Macaca fascicularis: one gene and its partners. The protein of the gene in region 4 interacts with the protein of the main gene of each other region in a pairwise test. Links are inferred from orthologs where the notes say so. Each region holds a gene or a part of one and is shown on either strand. Other genes may lie near its edges.

Region 1 (2,241 bases), on a different chromosome or scaffold from region 4:
AGGGAAGGAAAAGAAGACATGATGCAAAAACCAAGTGGAAGCTGTCACAGTATACTTTCTCATGTATGAATTATAAAAGAATATTTAATAATGACTTGATTCATTGTGAACTAATAAATGTATTTTTGTTTTGCAGAAGTCCACAAAAGGAAGATAGGATACCAATGGCAGATGAGTATTACGAATATAAGCACATAAAAGCCAAACTGAGACTATTAGAGGTCCTCATCAGCAAGCAAGATGTGGCCAAAACTATTTGAGGTTCAGGAAATGTTATGATCACTTTCACCCATGATATAAAGTAAAGTTTATTTTCCTCTGCCATCCTTGCTAAGTAGTTTTGACACAATGAAAATGGAAGCACTTTAGTGGTAGTATTAGCTGTTTTCAAGAAGGAATAGCAAGTTTAATTATATACAAGGAGAAGGGATTTAAATGGGGGGAAGGATACAACAGGTAGCCTTATAATTGGGAAAAAATTCAGTGTCCTCCATGCCAAGCAGAAAACTCATAGTCAATACAAGTATTTTAAAAAATGTCTAATATTTTATCAAATCTAAATAACATAGCTAGGATGCTTGTTAGGGAAAGTTTATTTAGTATCCAAAGATTGTTTATGTTGATGTATGGAAAAGAGCATGATTTTTAAAAATCAATCAGAGGAGGAAAAGAAATTCTGCTTTTCAAGTAGGAAGGAATGTACCTAGCAAGAAAGTAATTTATTTGAAACTTCTAATGGATTTTTGAGTGATAAAACATTTACTACCTTGTCCCTTAAGTCTGCTAGGCTCTCAGTACCCTAAAATAACCTAGATTGTGTTACTGCTATTTTTTTTATTTCTCTATAAAAATAACACATTATTTTATCTGGTATTTGAAATTTTACATTTCTGGTTACCAAAGTTCATTCTGATAGCATGTACTTTGTGAATTATTATCTTTGTCTATAACTGACAGATGTTTATATTAAAATAAAATATTGTATTAAAAATTTAAAATAGGTATTTTGGATAGATATGTGTCTGCAGTATATAATCTAATATGTCCATAGTATTATTGCTAATCTTTTTGTTTACTATAAGACGATATAACTATTTTTTCATTGGGAATATACATTTTTCTTAATGTTCCAACATCTATACTTTGTAAAGTCAAAACATTTCCCATGAGCTGTAGTTATTCTTCCTTCTGTACAAAATGAAAGGTTTGGAAATTGCCCTGATACCTTGAAAAAGAAGCCAGAATATTTATTTGCTTCATCAACTTTAGTGTATATCATTTTGTGTTATTTTATACTAAAACATGTTTATTATTTTCATTTTTGTAAAAGGAAGTAAAAGGTCAACATTTTCCCTCATGTACCAACCTTGTTTGTATTTCTATTTTCTGTAACATTTAAGTATGATGTTGAAGAAATTCACATTTTCTTATAGTTTGGATGGGAAGACTATTGACTATTTCAGAAACAGACTATTTCAGAGGCTTATTGTTTTCTCTGTATTTACCTAATATTTTATAACTTTTATGAATCAGAATAATGTCCTTCATACATTTGTTTAATTGAAGTCATCTACTTGTAACAGGACAGATACACAACTATTTGAGGTTTACAAATTACATCTTTGATAAGGGAAATGGTTTCGTGACATGTACACAATTGCTATTAAAATGTAACTCTATATATTCTATATGATTGTAAATATTTTATACAACAATACAAATAAAATATTTTTCTATTATATTTATTATGTTGAAACACAGTAGTTGTTTCCTGTTAGCTAATATAAATAACATAAATAACACTGTCAAACAAGAAGTTGGAAGTGCTGACAATTCTAGGCTTCAAGATTTAACTCATGCTGCAATTACACCCTTTCATGCGGTTTGGAGTTATCCCAATATTTGTTCAGTAGATTAAAATGAATGCATATTTAAACACCATTTATAAGCCATTATTGTGTACTTTGCTAAAGCGGTCTATATAACTGTTTTGTTATGTTTGGCATAAAGGAAACATAAAAACATTGCAGCATCTAGGCAATAAAGTGTCAGAAGGAGAACTTAGGGTATTTCATCATTGAAAGTAGTGGGAGGGGTAGGGAATAGGAAAACACTAAAATGGCTCTGAATGGAATTTGGAAAGTGGTAGTTCGTTTTTGGTGACAGTGGCATGTGCATGCTTCAGTGGAAAACATCTGGTGATGAAAATGGACAACAGGACCAATGCTCCTAATGGAGGAA
Region 2 (3,500 bases), on a different chromosome or scaffold from region 4:
CTAAATTTTGTATATTTCAGTAGAGACAGGGTTGACCATGTTGGCCAGGATGGTCTCAATCTCTTGACCTCGTGATCTGCCCGTCTCGGCCTCCCAAAGTGCTGGGATACAGGCGTGAGCTACTGCGCCCAGCCTCTTAAGTATTTATGTTAAAATTAATTCATTCCACACACATTTATTAATATTTTCCTGTAGGGAACTTTACTCATCTGTAAAATGGGGAATGTCATACCTGCCTAATGACATTCTTGTAAGGATTAAATAAAAGGTGTAAGGAAGATAAGCACCCTTTTAGAGTGATCCAGCCAGGGGAAAATTGCTGATGCAAGAGAGGAAATGAGTTGTTGGAGTGGTGGTGTGAGTAGAGGAGGGGACCTGAGGCCCAGTGCCTAAGAAGGGGGCTTGGCTGTGGTAACCATATGGCTAGGTCTGTGTGACTGGAGGAGAGGATGGGGCAGGTGTACTGGCAGATGTGGAGCTTCTGCCCCTGATTCTCTGGTTTCTTCTGTGTTTTGAGATTTGATGAGGACGATGAATAGTTGTCTGGAAGGAGAGGAGTGTGAATAGCATGTGCATTGTGTTGAGATTGCTGCTTTTCCTGAAATTGGTGGCCGTGAATTTAAAGTGAGACTCTTCGGCCGGGCGTGGTGGCTCACGCCTGTAATCCCAGCACTTTGGGAGGCCGAGGTGGGCGGATCACAAGGTCAGGAGATCGAGACCATGGTGAAACCCCGTCTCTACTAAAAATAGAAAAAATTAGCCGGGCGCAGGGGCGGGCGCCTGTAGTCCCAGCTACTCGGGAGGCTGAGGCAGGAGAATGGCATGAACCCGGGAGGCGGAGCTTGCAGTGAGCCGAGATTGCGCCACTGCACTCCAGCCTGGGCGACAGAGCGAGACTCCATCTCAAAAAAAAAAAAAATTGAGACTCTTCAAGTAGGGTTGTTTCAGTACTGGTGTAAAGCAGGAAGGTGCTTTACTAGGGTTGCAGTATTACTGGGGAAGGGCCAAGAGAGTTGAGGGTGTAAGAAATCTAAGCCAGGTAATAAGGTAAGTGGTTATTTTAAAGGAGAGTGGAAGGATGGTTGAGTCAATGGATTGGAGGTCCTTATAGGGTAAGAGATTTTCTGAGGATCACAGATATTGATTGGAATGAGCTAAAAAGATAGGTGATGGTAGTCCTGGCCTGGGGTGCTGGAAATTGAGATAGTGGGTGTGCTGTCTGGTAGTGACAAAGTCTAGATCTGCGCTGTCCAAGATAAATTCGTCTCTAGCTAATTGACATGTGGCCAGTCTGAATTTGAATGTGCTGTAAATGTAAGATAGACATCAGATTTTGAAGACTTAAGCAAAAACAAAGAATATAAAACATCTCACTTCTTTTTTTGTTAGATAGTGTCTCAGTCACCCAGGCTGGAATACAGTGGCGTGATGTCCTGCTCCTAGGTTCAAACGATTCTCCTGCCTCACAGCCTCCCAAGTAGCTGGGATTACAGGCATGTGCCACCAAACTGGCTGCTTTTTTGTATTTTTTTTAGTAGAAACGGGGTTTCACCGTGTTGGCCAGGCTGGTCTTGAACTCCTGACCTCAAGTGATCTGCCTGCCTCGGCCTCCCAAAGTGCTGGGATTACAGGTGTGAGCCACCGCTCCCGGCCTCCCTTTTTTACATTGATTCCGTGTTGAAATTGTAATGTTTTGGATATTGGGTTACAATAAATATATTACTAAAATTAATTTCACCTGTTTTTTACTTTTTCAGTGTGGCCAGTAGAATATTTTTAATTATTTATGTGGTTTGCATTATATTTCTGTTGTATAGGCCTGGATAGGGTCATGGGAGGGGAACTGAGCTGGAGAAAGGAGTGAGTTTGTGGAAGAACTGAAGGACTGGGAGACCAGGGAGTCAGAAGGATTATCTGTTGATACTGAAGTGGCCACAAATGAGAAAAGTAATTGTGCTGGGGAGAGTGCTGATGAACCCAGTGCTAACGTTTTGAAGGAATGTAAGGGAGCAATGGGGGTCTGTTAATAGGCACAAGGTAGGGTAGCAGGTGGTCTCATCCTTGGGCATGAGTGTCCAGCAAATTGGGGAAATGCAACAGCTTGAAGTGGCTCTAGTGGCCCAGCGTCAGAGCTGGAATAGGAATTGGCATCTGCTGGCTGCGTGGCCCCTGCTTGCCCTAGTGAGTGTCCATTTCTCTGTCCCTATGGTGGAGGCTTCGGGGTTAGTGTCAGTTCATGGGAGGAGTGTGTAAGCAACAGCACAGCATCAGCCCATGAGAGCACTCCTGGTCTGAAACGGTGCGGTTCAGGGCAGCTCAGGAGAGCCTAGACCCGAATAGTGATCCCCACCAGGAAGGCCTCACAGGATGCTCACCTGCCCTCCCTATCCCTGTCCCCAGCTGGAGGAGCACCGGAACTCACAGAAGCAGATGAAGCTCCTGCAGAAGAAGCAGAGCCAGCTGGTGCAAGAGAAGGACCATCTGCGTGGTGAGCACAGTAAGGCCGTCCTGGCCCGTAGCAAGCTTGAGAGCCTATGCCGTGAGCTGCAGCGGCACAACCGCTCCCTCAAGGTAGGCCTGGGCCCCCTGGAACAGGTGACTCTGATTTCCTTGACTTCCACTTAATGTTTCTTTCATGGGCTTTCCTCTTAAAAAGTAATGGAGGCTAGGCCTGGGTGCAGTGGCCCACATAAGTGATTAAAAATCTTCTGGCCACTCTAAAAAGTAAAAAGAAACAGGTGAAATTAATTTTAGTAATATATTTAACCCAACATCCAAAACATTACAATTTCCACATGGAATCAGTGTAAAAAAGCAAGGCTGGGCATGGTGGCTTACGCCTATAATCGCAACACTTTGGGAGGCTGAGGTGGATGGATCACTTGAGGCCAGGAGTTTGGGACCAACCTGGAAAAAGAAACCCCATTCTACTAAAAATACAAAAAATAGCCAAGTGTGCTGGCACATGCCTATAATCCCAGCTACTTAGATGGCTGAGGCACGAGAATTGCTTGCACCCGAGAGGCTGAGGTTGCAGTGAGCCAAGATTGCACCACTGCATTACAGCCTGGGCAACAGAGTGAGACTTGGTGTCAAAAAAAAAAAAAAAAAAAAATGCAGACTTGTGGCATAGAAATACACTTTCTCGGCCGGGCGTGGTGGCTCACACCTATAATCCCAGCACTTTGGGAGGCCGAGGCGGGTGGATCACGAGGTCAGGAGATGGAGACCATCCTGGCTAACACAGTGAAACCCCGTCTCTACCGAAAATAAAAAAAAAAATTAGCCGGGTGTGGTGGTGGGCGCCTGTAGTCCCTAGCTACTCGGGAGGCTGAGGCAGGAGAATGGCGTGAACCTGGGAGGCGGAGCTTGCAGTGAGCCGAGATCGTGCCAACTGCTCTCCAGCCTGACTCCGTCTCAAAAAAAGCAAGACTCCGTCTCAAAAAAAAAAAAAAAGAAATACACTTTCTCAATAATACCTTACGTTAGAGAATGCTGCT
Region 3 (2,998 bases), on a different chromosome or scaffold from region 4:
CCAGCTGCCCCTTGGCTAGAGACCAGGGATGACAGCCGAGCCCCAGGTAAGGGGACCCCAGACCAGGAAGCTCTGTGGAAAGACTCAGGCAAGGAACTTGGGTTTCTGAGTCATTTGTCATATGACGGTTCCTACTAACTGCAACTTTCGCCTTTTCCTTTGCAGGATATGTTTGATCCCCATGGCTGGTCTGAGGACTCCTACTATGAGGCATTAGGTAGCCTTTCATCCCTCCTCCCATATACCTCGTCCGCCCACCCAACTGTCCCTTTATCCAGTCAGTTGGTTATCCAGGCAACACGTATTTCAGGGTCTCCTTTACGTCAGGCCATGTTCAAGGGGCTGGGTACAGGCCTGAATGAGACAGACCCACCCCTGCCTTAAGAGGCTTATGCCACAGCAAAGAAGATGCCAGTAATGCATCACGCCAGTAATGCCAGCATCGATGAAGTGTTGGTGATGACAGAGTTGCTGGGTACAGGGGAGCTTTGGCAAGCAGGGTCATCTAATCTGGCCAAAGGGATGGGAAGGTCTCACTGACAAAACTGTGTTCCAGCTGAGGTTTGAAGAGGCAGAGGGGCCAGGCAGGTGCAGGCAGAATGTTCCGAGGCCAGTGAGAGGGTGGCTTATTCTTAAGGTACCAGTTTGGGAGAACTGGGAGGAATGTCAAAGGGCCCAACCCCTAGACCATAGGTCTTGAGCCTGTAGCCCATGGCCCAGATCTTGGCCTGTAGAGGTGCTTTGTTTGGCCTTCATGAATGTTACTGTCTTTTATTTTGAATTCATTGCCAACATTTTACATAATAATCTCTGATTCCAGCTTCTCTCAGTCAGTAGCAAGGTAGTCCCCATTGGGCCTGTATTTCCGTGTGCGGCAGTCCACAGGAGCTCAGGAGTAGCTGACCCTTCCAGACACAGACACGGGGCATGCAGCCCTCCAGTCTGGAGCTGAAGGCCCCTGCCCTACGCCAAGCAAGGGCTGGCTTCATTTTGCCTAGCACGAAGAACACTGAGCCCATGAAGACCTTTAGCCCACTGAAAAGAACGCAGGGATCAGAGTCGGCTCCCTCAGCCCAGAGCTGCTCAGGGGCCGCCTTTGTAACAGCTTCTCTTGTCTTCATAGCCAAGGCCCAGAAGATTGAGATGGACAAATTGGAAAAGGCCAAAAAGGAGCGAACGAAAGTAAGTGATGGCAGACCTCCTAGATGGAAAAGGCAGATGTGAAGTGCATGGGTCCTGCTGGCTGAGCCCAGAGGTTGTCCAGGCTGCCCCCCGCCCTGGCCCCATGTCAGGGCACAGGCCCTGCTCTGGGTTTGCGGTGCTCGCCTGCTGCCTTGCCCTTGGAGTCTTGCTTGCTGCGTTGTGACCCCCTTCCTCCCCTCAATTGCAGAACCTTGGGAGGCTTTGTCTATTTTGGGTCGTGGGTGCCCTCTGTGGCCTGAAGGGAGGGAAGTAATTCCCTAAGAGAGTGCCGGGCCCAGCTTGCTCTGCTCAGTGAGTTTCTTGGCCTCCAGAGCTGCCCTCGGTGGCCCGCCTGGTTGCTACCTATTAGGTCCCATGTTAGGGCCCTGAGCGCCACTTGTTCCCCAGCAGTGTGGTCTGGGTTCTTCAGGGAGCATCAGTTTGGCTGTGAGACCAAAGTGTTATCTCTGGGCCTTGTTCCCTTTGTGACCAGTCTCGGAGCCAGGCATCAGGACACCAGCTCCTCCCACGTCTGGCTCGGCCTGACCATCCTCAAGTAGCTGCGGCCTCCAGACTGCTTCCCTCACCCCAGGCAGAGGGGCTCTGGGGCCTGGGCATGCTGGTGGCCCTCTGGAGTCACTGGCTGCTGGGCCAGGAACGTGGGAGCTGGTGCAAGGGGATAATCGGGGTTTCTCATTCTTAACCCTTGATTGAATCTCCCTTCTCTCTCTTTCCCTCTCCCTTCCAAACCCCAGGCTTGTTGCAGGGACGTGTCTGCAGCGCCTGGGGACCGGAGCTGTCCTTCCCCTGTGCGGGCGGGCGCCGCCTCCTCCTGGGTGTGAGGAGGAGGGGCCTGGCCAAACGGTTCTGGGCATGTGAGGTGGGGCGGTGGGCCGGGGGTGCCGGGCATGTGCAGAGACCTGGTGATGCCGGGAGGGATCCAGTACTGTTTGGAAAGTTCTTTTAAGAGCGAAAAGCCCCTTTGGGTTCTTAGACACCTCACCCTCCCCCAGATGGTCAGAGCAGAGTTCATTTCCAATACCTCTTTTGTGTAGTGCCAAGCTCCTGTCCCCCAGGAGCTGACGGATGGCAAAAGGCTATGGACACCCAGCTTTGCCCAGCCTCATTCTCTTCCCTCTCCCTCTCCAGATTGAGTTTGTGACGGGCACCAAGAAAGGCACCACGACCAACGCCACGGCCACCACCACTACCACTGCCAGCACAGCTGTTGCAGGTAGATTGCAGAGCTGCCCTGCCTCCCTGCCTCCTGCCATACACACGGAGCCAGTGTCTCCCTGGCTAGTTTGGGCAACAGACAACACGTGGATCTAGGCCTAGGCTCAGCCTTGCTCTTTTCTAAGCAGGGACTTTGAGAACCAGCTTTGGAGTCTTGGGGGGGCCCCTTCGGTTTCTGCTCCCTAGGCCCGTGCTGGCCTGCAGGGGAAGGGAAGGAGAGCGCTGCTCATTAGTGGATCGCGATCCTGACTTCTGCTTTATCTCCAGATGCTCAGAAGAGAAAGAGCAAGTGGGACTCGGCTATCCCAGTGACGACGATAGCCCAGCCCACCATCCTCACCACTACAGCCACCCTGCCAGCTGTCGTCACGGTCACCACCAGCGCCAGCGGCTCCAAGACCACCGTCATCTCTGCTGTGGGCACCATTGTGAAGAAGGCCAAGCAGTGACCTGAGGGGCCACCCTAGGACTCGAAAGGACTGTGCAGCCCAGTGACCACTGCCCAGTGGGAGGCGCCACTTTGTATATTTCAGGATTGGGACCTGCTCCCCTGATGCCACCTGAGAGGAGCTTCTATGTG
Region 4 (3,500 bases):
TTGCGGTGAGCCCAGATCACACCACTGCACTCCAGCCTGGGCAATAGAGTGAGACTCAGTCTCTAAATAAATAAATAAATAAATAAATAGAATAAATAAAGACAAAAATGAATTAGTTGCTAATATTTAAAAAACAGACAATTTCACCTAAAATTCTAGATTTTGCCTGGCAGTAGTTAGTTGAGGCAAGTGAGAGCTGCTCCTGGGACAATGGACATGGTCTTCTCTTGGAGGCAGTCTCCACGGCCCCCTGTTGTCTTCCACCCCAACCCACAGGAACTTTTGTTGGTCCTGAAGTCATTTGAGTTTGCCATCCCTACTCACAAGGGTTTTAGTTTTGCAGAAACGGTTATTTGTCCTTCAGGAATATCAGTAAAACATTGTGTGTAGCTTTTTTAATAATTAGAGCCATATGGCTGTAAAATTGGCTGAGCAAATCCTTCATTGGTTACTTCCATCTTCGTCTAGTAGCCCAGTCTCCTCCTGTCTTCTCATGGCCAGCCTCACTGAGACACAGCCCCTGTCACACTCTTATCTTCTTGAGACCAAAGCCTCTCAAACCAAACACTTGGATTCTTCCTACAAGAACATTTCCCCTTCTCTTGAGCTATATCCTATGCATGATTGCCAAGTAGATATAATCAAATGTGTCTTCCATATTCAAATTTGAGTCTCTAAATAATAATAATATTATTTTTTGAGACACAGTTTCACTCTTGTCGCTCAGACTGGAGTTCTATGGCACGATCTTGACTCACCTGCAACCGCTGCCTCCTGGTTCAAGCGATTTTCCTGCCTCAGCCTCCCGAGTAGCAGGGATTACAGGCAGCCGCCACCACACCCAGCTAATTTTTGTATTTTTGGTAGAGACGGGGTTTTACCATGTTGGCCAGGCTGGTCTCAAACTCCTGACCTCAAGTGATCCACCCTCCTTGGCCTCCCAAAGTGCTGGGATTATAGGTGTGAGCCACTGCGCCCGGCCTCTAAATAATTATTAAAATGAAATCCAGGTTATGTGTTGAAAACATTAGGTACATGAAAAATACATGAACTTAAGCAAGGATACGCTGAATGAGAATGAGGGGACAGCTTTTTTCCTTTTTTTGATACAAGGTCTCACTCTGTTACCTAGGGTGGAGTGCAGTGGCATGGCATGATCATAGCCTACTGCAGTCTCAACCTCCTGGGCTCAAGCCTGCCGAGTAGCTGGGACGACAGGCACACTCTGCTATGCCTGGCTAATTTTTTCTTTTTTTGTAGATGGGGTCTTACTATGTTGCCCAGGCTGGTTCAAGACCTTGGCCTCCCAAAGTGCTAGGATTACAAGCATGAGCCACCATGCCTGGCCCAGGGATAGCTCTTATTTGAGACTTCAACTGTACTAAATGGAAGGGAGGCAGGGATGGAAAATTTGGAGGGGGGGGCAACATCTTCATTGAAATGTTGTGGTCCTATTCGTAAACTCTTTTATGAGAAAAGCAACATTTATTTCTAGGGCTTAAACTTGTTATAAAAAAGTTAAACATAGGAGATAGGAACTCCTAAGTAAAATACATGAGGAGTCTTATATTAAATTACAGCTTCACTTCAGTCAGAGTCAATATAGTATCTGAATTATTGCATTTTCCCTAATAGAGGCTTCCAAAGAAGTGAAGTGTAGAATTTAGTATGCTGGAGTTCTCGGTTATAAATGTAGTGTTCTGTTTTCTTGTCCACTGAAACAATCCAAGTAGAAATGGAAATCTATTTGGGATATAAATAAACCAGTCAGCAGACTGTCCTGTGGTAGCATAAATGCTCATAAGTTTCAAATCACAAGGGACAAGAGTAGTGTTCTGAGGGCAGAGAATAGCTCTCCTTGAGTACCGTGTTATTTTGTGGAAGGAGCAAGAAACTGTCATTTCACTGAGTGGCTGATTCACATACATGAATTGCTGTGATCATAAGACTGTCTTTTTTTTATCTTTTGCTGAAATTCCTCAGGTATCATTAACCCAATCGAAGCCAAGCAGAGAAAGGGAAAAGGTGCTGTGGGGGCTTATGGATCCGAGCGCACCACGCAGTCAATGCAAGACTTCCCTGTGGTTGACTCAGAGGAAGAAGCTGAAGAGGTAACTGGAAGTCAGGAGACATGGGTGGGTGGTGTCCTGTCCATTTCTAATGGCTGTTCATTTATCCCTTCATTCTGTTAGTCCTCAGATGTTTATTGTACACGTACCATATGCCAGGTGCTGGGCTGAAGGCTAGGTGCACCATGATGAGAGGGCGCACGGTGGACAGAGAGTAAACAAGCAGCTATGGTGTGGAAGTGGCAGTTGAAATGGCAGAAGGTGCTAGGACCTGCCTAGACAGAAAATAAGGTTGGGGGTTGGGAGGTGGTGTTGACCTACTTTTATAAATAGGCTGGTCAGGGAAACCTTTGAGGAAAGGAAACATTTCAGTTGAGACTTGGCAGAAGGGTGAGCTGAGAAGCCTGAGGACACTGAGAGGCTCTGAGCTTGCCGGTTAAGAAACCATAAAGGAAGCCGTTGTGGTGGGAGGGTGGTACACAAAGCAGAGGGGAAGGAAGTGCATTCAGAGGGGTAGGCGGGCCACAAGATGGGCCTTGACAGCCATTTTTAGGTGCTTGGGTTTCATCCCAAGTGCAGCAGGGAGCCATCTGCTGGCAGCTGTGTGTCCCTTTTCCCCAGTGATAGAAGGGGCCAGCTTTGTTGATTGAAGTATTACTCTTTTCCCATTTGAATCTATGGGGGAAAGCAGGATGCTGCAAAGAAACACGTTACTCTTCTTGTCACTGACCTTTTGATGACACAGTCATTTGATAATGTGGGATTGACCGCTCTGAGTCAGGGGTTCTCAGACTTAGAAGCCTACAGGTGCCAGGCACACCACAGAAGCAAGTAAGATGAGCCAGATGCTAGACAATAAAGAGTGGTGGGGACTGTGGCACAGAGGTGAGGCCTTAGCCTGTCTAGAAGGTAAATCTTTATTCAGCTCTAGGTGATTGTTGCTTATGAGGATGTGGGCTTAGTATTGCCTGATCCTCTGATTTTCCCAAAGTAGCCAGATGTGTAGATACTTTTAGAGAAAAAAATGACAAGTCTTAACCAGTATGAGAAAAACATAATGACAACTCCAAAACCAACTTCTGTGGGCTGGATTCCACTACCATCATGCTAAGAAAGTTTACAAATTTGCGTTGGGCCGCATTCAAAGCCGTCCTGGGCTGCGGGTTGGACAAGCTTGCCGTAGCTCCTCCTGTAGCTACGGCAGGTACATTTTGCAGACCCTGATTATAAGAGATACCTTTGCTTTGAGAGTTAGGACCTGCTTATTTATCTTCATTTTAAAGTGAGAAACAAGATATTGTGTACTTAAAAAATCGTTTACATTGCATTTCTAAGTTTTACATGAGGTACATTTAAACTAGTATAGTGCCTGCCCATAGTAGATGCTCAATACATGTTGTTTCCTTTATTTTTGTTTCTCCCTCCCGTCTG
Region 5 (4,279 bases), about 16 Mb from region 4:
CATCACTGGGCAATCGGCATGGCCATCCTCTGAGGCCAGGGTATAAGAGAGCAAATAGGACTGGAGCTGGACTTGGAAGGGTCAGCAGGAGATAGGATTTCAGAGAGCAGAGGTTCGGTTGATGTGACTGTCAGAACAGGAGCAAGGCCAGAGTGGCTGCCAGGGAGCCTGGATGCATAGGAGTCTCTGGTGAAGGCTAGTGGACCACGGTATTCCCAGGGGCCACAGCAGCCCTGACACTGCTTGACTGCTCTAAGCAAAGAAAGATCAAAAAGAAAAAACAAGCAAACAGGACAGTAATGGCAGCTGCTGATGGAAAATCCCAACCCCTCACCCAGTTTCCAGGCCTAAGCTAGGCCTCAGACCCGGAGGTCACTGACTGAAAGGGAGGCTGGGTCCCCTCGAGACCACAAAGATTTGCAGTAATAGTCTCCTAATTTTCCCCAGAAGGGCCGGCAGCATTTCCAAGAAGCAACTGTACACTGGGAGAAGAGAAATAGTAGATATATCAAGGGCTGGTGGGTACATGGTCTGAGAGGCCCTTTGGAGTCCAGATAAGTGGAGTCCTTGGACTTCTTTTCTCCCCTGTCTACACTTGCTCCCTTGGCGATCACACCGTCTCCTACCTTTTTCTCTTCTCTTCTCTTCTCTTCTCTTCTCTTCTTTTCTTTTCTTTTCTGACGAAGTCTTTCTCTGTTGCCCAGGCTGGAGTGCAGTGGGGCGATCTGGTTCCCTGCAATCTCCGCCTCCTGGGTTCAAGCGATTTTCCTGTCTCAACCTTCCGAGTATTTGGAATTATAGGCATGCGCTACCACACCCGGCTAATTTTTGTACGTAGTAGAGACGTGGTTTCACCAAGTTGGCCAGGCTGGTCTGTAATTCCTGACCTCAAGTGATCTGCCCCCCTCGGCCTCCCAAATTGCTGGGATTACAGGCATGAATCACCGCACCCGGCCCCTCTCATAACTTTCAGTAACCTATCCACGGCCAGTCCCAGGTGTATTGCTCCAGGCCTGACACCTCTGATGTTCAGTCTGTTCAGTCTCATATCAAACTGCCCACCTGACATCTCCCCTGAGAGACCTAATGGGCGTCTCACCATGGCCCACAGAGAACTGATCCACTCGATTTTCCCCAAGCTGGCCCCTCTCCTGCAGTCTCCCCATCTCAGTCAATGGCAACACCATCCTCTTAGTTGCCTCGACTGAAAACCTAGCAGCCATCCTGGATTTCTCTCACAGTGCCTATTCAATGTGTGAATGCATGAGTGGAAAGCTGAGTTCGCACTCGTGACTGGCCGGGGTCAACGCTGACGTTCCCTCCCACTTCCGCGCGCTGATTTGACTCTGAGCTGATGAAGGTTGGGCCCTGGCGGGCGGGGCCGGAGAGGCGGGCCTGGAGCCAGGGGGCGGGACAGACGCCACGGAAACGCGATCGCGCCGGCGCCGAACCACAACTCCCGGCGGCCCCTGCGCTCCCGGGCGGCAAGATGGTGGCGCGCAGGAGGAAGCGCGCGGCGCGGGACCCGGAGGACTGTATCCCCAGCCCACCGGGCTACGCAGGTGAGGGGCTCCGGGACGCGAGACCGGGGGGGCCAGGCATCGCCGGGAGGTGTTTGGGGGTTGGCGGCGGCCGGGGGTCCCCAGGAGCGGCCGCACGGTTGGGTGTGAGCTCCGGCGGCCTCTGGCCCCAGCTTCGGAGTCCCGAGGACCCACGCGGCGCCCTTCTGCCTGCCCACTCTCTCGGGGCGAGCCTGTCTTGGTCCACGCTTCCCTTGGGTGAGCCCACCACTGTGCACCTCTCACCCAGGGCAAACCCATTTCCGTCCACATTCGCTCGTCCAGGTGAGCCCATCCCCTTCTCATCGCCTCTGCTTCTAGTCCAGCCCCCATCAGCTCTTACTGGGCTGTTACGGGCCCTCCTACTTGGTTGCCCTCCTCTTTCTCTTGCCCCTGCTTCTGTTCTCCACCCACGTACCAGAATGTTCTTTTTAAGGCCATTTAAGTTAGAGCATGTCTCACACGCCCACGATAGGCCCCACACCCACTGCATTCCTTCCAGTAGCTTCATCAAGTCGCTTCTAAAACAAAAAGCAGACTTCTTAACCTGTGTGGGCCACATGGTCTGACTGGTGCTGACCTAAAGCTCTTTCTGTTCATCTGAGGCAACATGCTTTTTCCCCCTCTGGGTTTTTGCACTTGCTGTAACAGTTTGTTGCACAGTGGCGTTTCTGTTCTGAGCTTTAATGTTGCTTCCTCAAAGAGGCCATCCCTGAGAGCCTATGGAAAGAAGACCTCTGCCACCCCATGACCCTGTAATGTTTCTTTCATAATTGATACAAGCTTGCTGTATGCTTACTTGGTAATTGTCTTCTCCGTTATTGCAACTGAGCTTCCTGAGTTCAGGGACCGCAGCTCTATGCCAACCGGTAGTCTGACGGAGGTGTGAGAAAAATAGAAGCAGTTCCTAGCTTTATGAGATTACAGTCATGGGTGTGGCAGTGATTAACCAAAGAATCTCATCAGTATAGCCTACAGACTGTTAAGAGAAGCTGTGAAGGCACAGGCAGTGGGGTCTGACCTGGCAGGAGGGGCGGAGGGTGATGCTAAGGCTCTCTTGAGGAAGCGAGGTTTGAGCTAAACCTGAAGGTTAGCAGGAGGGAAGAGGGTGATGCACTAGGTAGAGAGGCCAGTGTGTGTGAGGCCCTGGTGTACCCAGGGGAACAGGGAGAATCCAAGGTGGTGGGGAAGATGGTACGAGAAGAGGCCACAGTGGCAGGCAGGGTCTCACGGAGCTTCTAGCCACGGTTAGGATTTTGGTGTTCACTCCAAGAGCCGCAGGGTTCGAGCTTCCCTTTCATTGCGCCCCCATCTGTAATCATTGCCCATTTATCTTCTCTTTCCCTGCACCACCTTGGGAGGCCCTCCTGGGCAGACTCTTAGAGCCCGCACAGGCTTTGCCAAAGGGTAGGGTCGGGGGGTTGGTGAAGGGATGGATGGATTGATGAGCAGATAGGACTAGACAGGGATGTGGAGAAAGGAAGTGTGAATGTCTTGCTGACCTCAGCTCAGGGTAGCCTGGCCATCCCTCCCCTCCCATTTCCTTTCCAGCTATTCCAATCAAGTTCTCTGAAAAGCAGCAGGCTTCTCACTACCTCTATGTGAGAGCACATGGCGTTCGACAAGGCACCAAGTCCACCTGGCCTCAGAAGAGGACTCTTTTTGTCCTCAATGTGCCCCCATACTGCACAGAGGTGAGCTAGTGTCTGGGAGGGGACCTGTGGGCTCTAGGTGGGGGCTCCCTTGGCCTCCACCAAGTCCTTGGTGGTGAGACGGACACAGCTAATGGGAGCCCTAGAGGAGAGTGTCCAGAGGGCTACCTTGATCTCCAGTCAGGAAACGGGTTTTTCAAAGATGTCTTTAAAAGTATAATCCTGCCAGGCATGGTGGCTCATGCCTGTAATCCCAGCACTTTGGGAGGCTGAGGCCGGTGGATCACCTGAAGTCAGGAGTTCAAGACCAGCCTGGCCAACATGGTGAAACCCTGTCTCTACTAAAAAACAAAAAATTAGCCAGGCATGATGGCGTGTGCAGGTAGTCTTGGCTACTCGGGAAGCTGAGGGATGAGAATCCCTTGAACCCGGGAGGTGGAGGTTACAGTGAGTCGAGATTGCGCCACTGCATTCCAGTCTAGGTGACAGAGTGAGACTCCATCTCAAAAAAACCCCAAAAAACCCCCAAAATTAGCCGGACATGGTGGCACACGCCTGTAATCCCAACTGCTTGGGAGACTGAGGCACAAGAACTGCTTGAACCTGGTAGGCGGAGGTTGCAGTGAGCCAAGATCGCGCCATTGCACCCAAGCCTGGGCAACAGTGTGAGACTCTGACTCAAACAAAAAAAAGGAAAAAAAAGTGTAATCCTAAGTAGCCCAAGGTTTTTTTACGTATTACCCGAAGTTGTTTGAATTACGTGTTTTCTTTGAGACTATACGTGTCCATAATTTGAAAGTAGGAAAGTATAAAAAAATGAAAAGTGCCTCTAATTTTATCCAAACACAACTGTTAATTTTTTTTTTTTTTTTTTTTTTTTTTTACAAAAACTAAACTAAGGGAATTGCTGGATTTTTTTTTTTTTTTTTTTTTTTTTTGAGACAGACAGAGTCTCCCTCTGTTGCTCAGGCTAGAGCACAGCGATCGTGGCTCACTGTGACTTCCGCTTCCCAGGTTCGAGCTGTTCTCCTGCCGCAGCCTCCCGAGCAGCTGGAATTACAGGTGCCC
Region 6 (3,995 bases), on a different chromosome or scaffold from region 4:
TTTATCTCTATTGTGATGTGTGGTGGGAAATACAAATCCAGTTTTACCTTTGACAAATGGTTGTCATCCCAGCACAACTTCTAAGTTCTTCATTTCTCTGTTGACATGTGGTGTCCCCTTCATCATTTACTCAATATCCTTACATACCTGGATCTATTTCTGGTCTATTCTTTCTCTCTGTTAATACAATAAAATCATATGGGTATGTTCCAGTATCTGATAAGGCTGACCCTCACCATTGTTCTTTTTCATGGGTTTCCTGGCTATTCTTATTTTCCCACTTGAACTTTATAATCAGTTTATCTAATTCCAGAACAATATTTGTTGATATTTTTGTTGGAATACTAGAGTTGCATACGTATTTAGGGAGGATTGACCTCTTTGAGTCTTTCTAAGAACCGCATATTGCTTTGTTTGTTTAAATGTACATCTGGCCTTTTAGGAGCTTTTTAAAGCTTTCTCCATAGAAGTTTTGTTCATTTCTTGTTAAGTTTATTCCTAGTTTCAATTTTTTGTTGCTATTGTAAATATAGTCTTCTCTTCCATTATATCTCGTAACTCGTTATCATTGATTATTCACATATATGAAGGCCATTGATTTTAGTGTGTTAACTTTATATCTTGCTAATTTACTAAATTATCCTTTTTTTTTTTAATAGTTTTTCCATTGAACCGGGTTTTCTGACATATAATCATACATCGGCGCATAAAAGAGAACATCAAGAGGATCGTGGATGGCGAAATAGCCGGCAGAAACCAGCCCGCTGGCCCTTGAGAAGTCTGTGTGGAAGAAATCCCTACGCCACCGCTAAGCGCGGATTTGGGAAGCTCCCCGGCAGAAGGTCCCCCGAGAACATCCCTTTGAGGCATCTCTAACCTCAGAGACACAGAATCCCAAAGTGAATGGAGACGCAAGGGATTTCCCTGTCTTAAGATCAGTTCTACAAGCCTTGACCACCCATCGGGCCGGGGGAAGTGTGGACAATGGCTGAGTAAAGAAGAGGAGAAAGATAAACCCGTTCCGTTTACCCGCGGGTCTGAGAGCCATCATCACCCTTCCTCTCACGTAGACGCGCGGAAACACTACTACCGAGTTGAAAGCCCCTTTCGCCCCCTTCCTAGAGCGGCCGCGGAAGTGCGCCCCACGCGGGTTGGTTCTCAGCCCTCCCGTGGCCGCTTCCGGCCTTTGTGGGTCACTTTTGATGGGTTCCGGGTCCCAAAAGGGTTCGAGGCCTTTAGGGGGGAGTTCTCTTCTGGCCCGGGGGGGCCGCAGGTGAGCGATGTTGTGCTCTGTATGCTGCGAGGAGGTGGGCGGAAGATTGCTGTATTCTAGTTGCTGGGCCCCTCGGCTCTGGCCGGTGCAGAATGGACCCTGGTCCTCCCAAACCCAGGTGGATCCGCGGGAAGCTCTCCCTCCCCAAAGTGCGCTGGGAGACTAGGATGAGGGATCGGCTCCCAGTCTGCAGCAATTCCGTGCTGTAAGGCCCATACCTACCTTCCGCGTTTGCCTCGGCGTTGTATCCTTGGGTTCAGCGCGTACCGACATTTCTAGACAGTGGTGGTTCACAGACGCTGGCCGGCGTCCCAGGGCCTTCCTCACTTCAGATTATAATCACAGACCATGAGGATAGAGGGAAGGCTTAAAGAGTAACCTCTTCAGCCTTCTCACTTTATAAATGAAGAATAAGGAGCGGAAAGTTTAAGTCCCTGAGGAAATAAATTTACATGACTTTGTTGCTTTTGTGATTTCATGGTTTCTACCAGACATCTGGATATTCAAAAGATAAAAGTAACTAATCAAGGATGTCCTAACCTTTTATCATTATTGTTTACTTGATCTAAATGTTAGTTTTATTCCATTTGCCTTTCATTTAGGACCAAATGAGAATAAGTTTACTAACAAGTCTTACTCTTCTTCTTAAAGTCCTGAAACAACTTGGCACCTTTCCTTAGTCTTTCTCTTTAAATTGGTCTAATCTTAAGTCTTTTCTATCAGAGTATTTTTCTGAGTAAGTATCGTACATTAACCTGGAGGCCAGATTTCAAAGATCATAGTTAAGTTCTCAGAATTTGCAGTTTTACTTTATGGTGGAGTTTGTGTTAATAATGATGGCTTATTCCTCAGGACTGTCCAGGAATAAATTTTCCAGGGGAGATCTTACTTGAAACACCGGTAGTTCTGGCACAGCTAAAATGGCATCTACTTGGGCTATCCAGGCCCACATGGACCAGGATGAACGTTTGGAAGTAAAGATAGAGGAGAAGAAGTATACCACCAGACAGGATTGGGACCTGCATAAAAACAACACCCATAGCAGAGAGGTCTTCCGTCAGTACTTCAGACAGTTCTGCTACCAGGAGACGTCTGGTCCCCGTGAGGCTTTGAGCCGACTCCGAGAACTTTGCCATCAGTGGCTGAGGCCAGAGACCCACACCAAAGAACAGATTCTGGAGCTGCTGGTGCTGGAGCAGTTCCTGACCATCCTACCTGAGGAGCTCCAGGCCTGGGTGCAGGAGCAGCATCCAGAGAGTGGCGAGGAGGTGGTGACTGTGCTGGAGGATTTAGAGAGAGAATTGGATGAGCCAGGAGAGCAGGTGAGAAAAAAGAGGTGACTTCTGTTTGAGAAAAGATAAATTGTGGATTTCTAGGCCAGAGTGAAGAACAGCCATTTTTTCACAAAGCATGTTTTTTGACAGTTTGATGCATCAGAAAGGGGCATGAGTTTCAGGGAAAGTTGGCTAATGTGGTCCCAACTTATTTATAACTTTTCTGTGGAAGGATTTTATATTTCTCTATTAAGCTACAAAATTCTGTTTGATAAATATGCTGCTCATCTTAGAAAACTTCTAAGACAAGAGAAGGTATCAGAGAGATGAAAGTAGCAGGATGGGAAGCAGTCTCTTGGAGGGGCATCACTCTGTTGCACAATACAAATAATTAAGAATTAAGGTTTTGCAGATATATCCATTGCTCTGACTCCATTACAGGGTTTTAAAATGGAAAAATTAACTATTTCAGGGGAATGAGATGTGGGAGTACAATGGAAAGTTAGTGAGGAGAGCAGGGTGGGGTTCTGTGTTTCTTTGAGTAGTAGAAAGCCCAGTTAGGCTGGAAAGGTGAATTCTGAGTAGAAGAGTTGAGATAGTGTCCAGGACCTTGAATCTCAACCTCTGGAATTGAGATTTTATTCTGTAGACAGACGCCCCTAACCTTTTCTTCTTGAGTCTAAATGAGCTTTACTAATTGTAAGATGTAAAAGAGAACCAAATTATATAGAACTTTTTTGTTTTGTTTTTAATACTAAAATGAGACAGTGGTTGTCAACCAGTGCCAATTTTGTGCCCCAGAGGGCATTGGCAATGTCTTGGGACATTTTTGGTTGTTATAACTCAGGGAGGTGCTCCTAGTATCTAGTGGGTAGAGAGGACAAGGCTAATGCTAAGCCTCTTACAACACACAGAACAGCCCCAGACAACAGAGAATTATCTAAACCAACATGTCAGTAGAGCCAACACTAGGAAACCCTGATATAAAGAGTTTGAAACTTAGGGAAATAATGAAATGGAAGTATAATCTAACACTGTGATACAAAATACAATAGAGAGGGTAGGAACATGTGGCAAAAAGATCTAAGTTTGAAATAAGATCACGAGGCCAGGCGCAGTGACTCATGCCTGTAATCCTAGCACTTTGGAAGGTCGAGGGAGGTGGATCACCTGAGGTCAGGAGTTCAAGGCCAGCCTGGGCAACATGGTGAAACCCCGTATCTACTAAAAATACAGAAATCAGCCGGGCATGGCGGCACGTGCCTGTAATCCCAGCTACTTGGGAGGCTGAAGCAGGAGAATCACTTGAACCTAGGAGGCAGAGGTTGCAGTGAGCCAAGATTGTGCCACTGTACCCCAGCCTGGGCAACAGAGTGAGACTCTGCTTAAAAAAAAAAAAAGAAACAGGATCATGAAAGTGTGATTACCAAGGATGAAGCATATCTTAG
Region 7 (3,500 bases), on a different chromosome or scaffold from region 4:
GTGATCCACCTGCCTTGGCCTCCCAAAGTGCTGGGATTACAGGCATAAGCCATCATGCCCGGGCTAGCTATGTGATTTTTATGTTGTATTTTGTTAATAGAATTCTGCTAGCCTGGGAAGTAAGACCCCATTTCTTCCAAAAAAAATTAGTAGGGCATGGTAGCATGCACCTGTAATCCCAGCTTTGGGAAGCTGAGGCAGGTGGATCAGTTGAGCCCAGGAATTCAAGGCTGCAGGGAGCTATGATTGTACCACTATGTTCTGACCTGGGCAACAGAACAAGAACCTGTCTTAAAAAAAAAAAAAAATTCTTCATAGCATACTCTATATTAATATAATTAATTTTTCCTTTACCAAAGCACTTTAAAATTGCCTTTAGCACATGCATGATGAAATACTTTCTTAAAGTGCTTTTCTTTTAGAAAATTTTTTTGGCCGGGCGCGGTGGCTCACGCCTGTAATCCCAGCACTTTGGGAGGCCGAGGCGGGCGGATCACAAGGTCAGGAGATCGAGACCACGGTGAAACCCCGTCTCTACTAAAAATACAAAAAATTAGCCGGGCGCGGTGGCGGGCGCCTGTAGTCCCAGCTACTCGGGAGGCTGAGGCAGGAGAATGGCGTAAACCCAGGAGGCGGAGCTTGCAGTGAGCCGAGATCGCGCCACTGCACTCCAGCCTGGGCGACAGAGCGAGACTCCGTCTCAAAAAAAAAAAAAAAAAAAGAAAAATTTTTAATTTTATTTTGAGACGGAGTGTTGCTTTGTTGCCCAGGCTGGAGTGCAGTGGCACTATCTCGGTTCACTGCAAGCTCCGCCTCTTGGGTTCACACCATTCTCCTGCCTCAGCCTCCCGAGTAGCTGGGACTACAGGCGCCCGCCACCACACCTAGCTATTTTTAAATATTTTTAATAGAGACGGGATTTCACCATGTTAGCCAGGATGGTCTTGATCTCCTGACCTCGTGATCTGCCAGCCTCGGCCTCCCAAAGTACTGGGATTACAAGCGTGAGCCACCGTGCCTGGGCTGTTTATTTATTTTTTAAGACGGGGTTTTACCATGTTGCCTAGGCTGATCTTGAATTCCTGGGCTCTAGCTATCTGCCCACTTTGGCCTCTGAAAGTGCTGCGATTACAGTAGGTGTGAACCACTGTGCCTGACCAAAATGTTCCTGTTTAATATTTAAATATGTCTTATATACCAGCAAATATGATGACTTGCTCAAGAATTGTAATGAGAACTAAAATCAACATCTGACTCTTCATCAGTAATCTTTTCAGAGGATAAGGAAAGCAAAATAGATGGCTTGCTAGGGTAATGGGATTCCTTTTTCTTTCTCTTTTAGTCTGGGCATTTTTTCATTAACTTTTTTTTATATATGCAAAAGACAAATCTTTAGTTCTATGAACAATTTGTTTAGTAAAGCCCCAGTCAACATGATTATTTTTTCAACAAATGTGAATTTATATAATGATAGCCATTTTACACGGTGATTTGTAGTTTTAAATGTTTTAGTATTAATCAGATTAGTTAGCTCTTTTTCTGTTTATTAGGGGTAAGTTACCTTTCTCTACTGAAGTGACAATTATACATCCATGACTGCTTTGACCAGAATATAAGAGGGTATCCGCAATCCAGCATGTAATTAAATTATAACGTGAATTACCCTTTCTTGAATGTGATATTCTTTCAGTCTCATTCCTATTACAATATAATTTTCACCCTGACTTAGGTGTTAGGAATGCTTCAGAGACTAGTTATTTTTTATTTCTTACATGATTTTTTTATTCTTTTTTTTTTTTTTTTTTTTGAGACAGAGTCTCGCTCTGTCGCCCAGGCTGGAGTGCAGTGGCCGCATCTCAGCTCACTGCAAGCTCCGCCTCCCGGGTCTACGCCATTCTCCTGCCTCAGCCTCCCGAGTAGCTGGGACTACAGGCGCCCGCCACCTCACCCGGCTAGTTTTTTGTATTTTTTTTTTAGTAGAGACGGGGTTTCACCGTATTAGCCAGGCTGGTCTCGATCTCCTGACCTTGTGATCCGCCCGTCTCGGCCTCCCAAAGTGCTGGGATTACAGGCTTGAGCCACCACGCCCGGCCGATTTTTTTATTCTTACCCATATTCTGTTTTTCCCTACTCCTAGTACTTACAACCTTTTATTCTGTGGTTCCTGTGGGATTCCCATTGGTTTCCATCTGTATTCTACCCATGCTGCCCTGGCTGCCTTGAGAGGTCACTTCTGCCTTTCCAGTGACAAAATGGTGTGGTGAGTAGACTTAGATATTGATCATCAAATACACTTATTTATTTATTTATTTATTTATTTAGAGACAAAGTCCATCAAATAAATTTTAAAAGATTTTTCAGGAAAGAGAAAGTGGGCTGAGCACAGTGGCTCATGCCTGTAATTCCAGCACTTTGGGAAGCTGAGGCGGGTGGATCACTTGAGGTCAGGAGTTGGAGACCAGCCTGGCCAACATGGTGAAACCCGTCTCTACTAAAAATACCAAAATTAGCCAGGTGTGGTAGACACCTGTAATCCCAGCTGCTTAGGAGGCCGAGGCATGAGAATTGTTGGAACCTGGGAGGCGGAGGCTGCTGTGAGCCGAGATTGCGCCGCTGCACTCCAGTCTGAGAGACAGAGTGAGATTCTGTCCAACTACTTGGGAGGCTGAGGCAGGAGAATTGCTTCAACCTGAAAGGTGGAGGTTGCACCGTGAGCTGAGATCGTGCCACTATACCCCAGCCTGGGTGACAGAGCAAGACTCTGCCTCAAAAAAAAAAAAAAAAAAAAAAAAGACAAAGCGTTTGTACCAAAGAAGATGCTAAAGTCAGGCACTGTCTTTGACAAAAAGATAGCAGTGGGCCAAGTGTGATGGCTCACGCCTGTAATGCCAGTGCTTTGTGAGGCCAAGGTGGGAGGACTGCTTAAGGGCAGGAGTTCAAGACCTCCATGGGCAATATAGTGAGACCCCTATTTTTTTATACAAAATAAAAAAAAATTAGCTGGATGTGGTGGTGGCCTGCCCCTGTAGTCCCAGTTACTTGGGAGGCTGAGGTGGGAGGATCACATGAGCCCAAGAGTTCAAGGTTACAGTTTGCTGTGATCACACCACTGCATTCCATTTTGGGTGACAAAATGAGACTCCATCTCTTAAAAAAAATAAAAAGATAGCAGTGGGACCAAAATATAATCTTATAACATTATGATTATCTTCCATGTCTTCTTATACCACATCTTAAGAAGCATCCATGGAAGAATTCAGAGGGTAGTCTTTCATTAAATAAACTTTTTGCCAGATGTGGTAGTGTGTGCCTATAATTCTAGTTACCCAGGAGGCTGAGGCAGGAGGATCCCTTGAATCTTGAAGGTGTTTGAGATCAGCCTAGGCAACATAGTGAAGCCTCCTATCTCAAACTGCCCCCTTAAAAAAAAAAAATAAATAAAAAGAACATTGTATGACCAGGCGCAGTGGCTCACGCCTGTAATCCCAGCACTTTGGGAG

What was found.
Region 1: the proteins of TFIP11 (region 4) and FAM13C interact in binary tests that used the Homo sapiens proteins (3 or more experiments, as listed by UniProt). The two-hybrid records come from large-scale screens. The link is inferred for Macaca fascicularis from reciprocal best matches to the Homo sapiens genes TFIP11 and FAM13C.
Region 2: the proteins of TFIP11 (region 4) and TXLNA interact in binary tests that used the Homo sapiens proteins (3 or more experiments, as listed by UniProt). The two-hybrid records come from large-scale screens. The link is inferred for Macaca fascicularis from reciprocal best matches to the Homo sapiens genes TFIP11 and TXLNA.
Region 3: the proteins of TFIP11 (region 4) and SAP30BP interact in binary tests that used the Homo sapiens proteins (3 or more experiments, as listed by UniProt). The two-hybrid records come from large-scale screens. The link is inferred for Macaca fascicularis from reciprocal best matches to the Homo sapiens genes TFIP11 and SAP30BP.
Region 5: the proteins of TFIP11 (region 4) and ribosomal RNA-processing protein 7 homolog A interact in binary tests that used the Homo sapiens proteins (3 or more experiments, as listed by UniProt). The link is inferred for Macaca fascicularis from reciprocal best matches to the Homo sapiens genes TFIP11 and RRP7A.
Region 6: the proteins of TFIP11 (region 4) and ZSCAN12 interact in binary tests that used the Homo sapiens proteins (3 or more experiments, as listed by UniProt). The two-hybrid records come from large-scale screens. The link is inferred for Macaca fascicularis from reciprocal best matches to the Homo sapiens genes TFIP11 and ZSCAN12.
Region 7: the proteins of TFIP11 (region 4) and OIP5 interact in binary tests that used the Homo sapiens proteins (3 or more experiments, as listed by UniProt). The two-hybrid records come from large-scale screens. The link is inferred for Macaca fascicularis from reciprocal best matches to the Homo sapiens genes TFIP11 and OIP5.

Annotation. Positions count from the first base shown.
Region 1 is NC_088383.1:87,376,320-87,378,560, forward strand, and holds the end of FAM13C (protein FAM13C), read left to right. Parts: intron 1-136; coding exon 137-260; 3' UTR 261-1,741; downstream 1,742-2,241.
Region 2 is NC_088375.1:202,841,963-202,845,462, reverse strand, and holds part of TXLNA (alpha-taxilin), read left to right. Parts: intron 1-2,400; coding exon 2,401-2,571; intron 2,572-3,500. UniProt on the Homo sapiens protein: May be involved in intracellular vesicle traffic and potentially in calcium-dependent exocytosis in neuroendocrine cells.
Region 3 is NC_088390.1:82,109,014-82,112,011, forward strand, and holds part of SAP30BP (SAP30-binding protein), read left to right. Parts: intron 1-165; coding exon 166-217; intron 218-1,123; coding exon 1,124-1,182; intron 1,183-1,937; coding exon 1,938-2,018; intron 2,019-2,331; coding exon 2,332-2,416; intron 2,417-2,685; coding exon 2,686-2,867; 3' UTR 2,868-2,998. UniProt on the Homo sapiens protein: Plays a role in transcriptional repression by promoting histone deacetylase activity, leading to deacetylation of histone H3.
Region 4 is NC_088384.1:25,179,325-25,182,824, forward strand, and holds part of TFIP11 (tuftelin-interacting protein 11), read left to right. Parts: intron 1-1,983; coding exon 1,984-2,111; intron 2,112-3,500. UniProt on the Homo sapiens protein: Involved in pre-mRNA splicing, specifically in spliceosome disassembly during late-stage splicing events. Intron turnover seems to proceed through reactions in two lariat-intron associated complexes termed Intron Large (IL) and Intron Small (IS).
Region 5 is NC_088384.1:9,066,975-9,071,253, forward strand, and holds the start of ribosomal RNA-processing protein 7 homolog A, read left to right. Parts: upstream 1-1,479; 5' UTR 1,480-1,489; coding exon 1,490-1,562; intron 1,563-3,110; coding exon 3,111-3,253; intron 3,254-4,279. Other genes in the region: SERHL2 (serine hydrolase-like protein 2), read right to left, coding at 627-749, 1,100-1,223. UniProt on the Homo sapiens protein: Nucleolar protein that is involved in ribosomal RNA (rRNA) processing. Also plays a role in primary cilia resorption, and cell cycle progression in neurogenesis and neocortex development.
Region 6 is NC_088378.1:144,782,104-144,786,098, forward strand, and holds the start of ZSCAN12 (zinc finger and SCAN domain-containing protein 12), read left to right. Parts: upstream 1-1,195; 5' UTR 1,196-1,391; intron 1,392-2,125; 5' UTR 2,126-2,193; coding exon 2,194-2,595; intron 2,596-3,995. UniProt on the Homo sapiens protein: May be involved in transcriptional regulation.
Region 7 is NC_088381.1:17,877,052-17,880,551, reverse strand, and holds part of OIP5 (protein Mis18-beta), read left to right. Parts: intron 1-2,137; coding exon 2,138-2,260; intron 2,261-3,500. UniProt on the Homo sapiens protein: Required for recruitment of CENPA to centromeres and normal chromosome segregation during mitosis.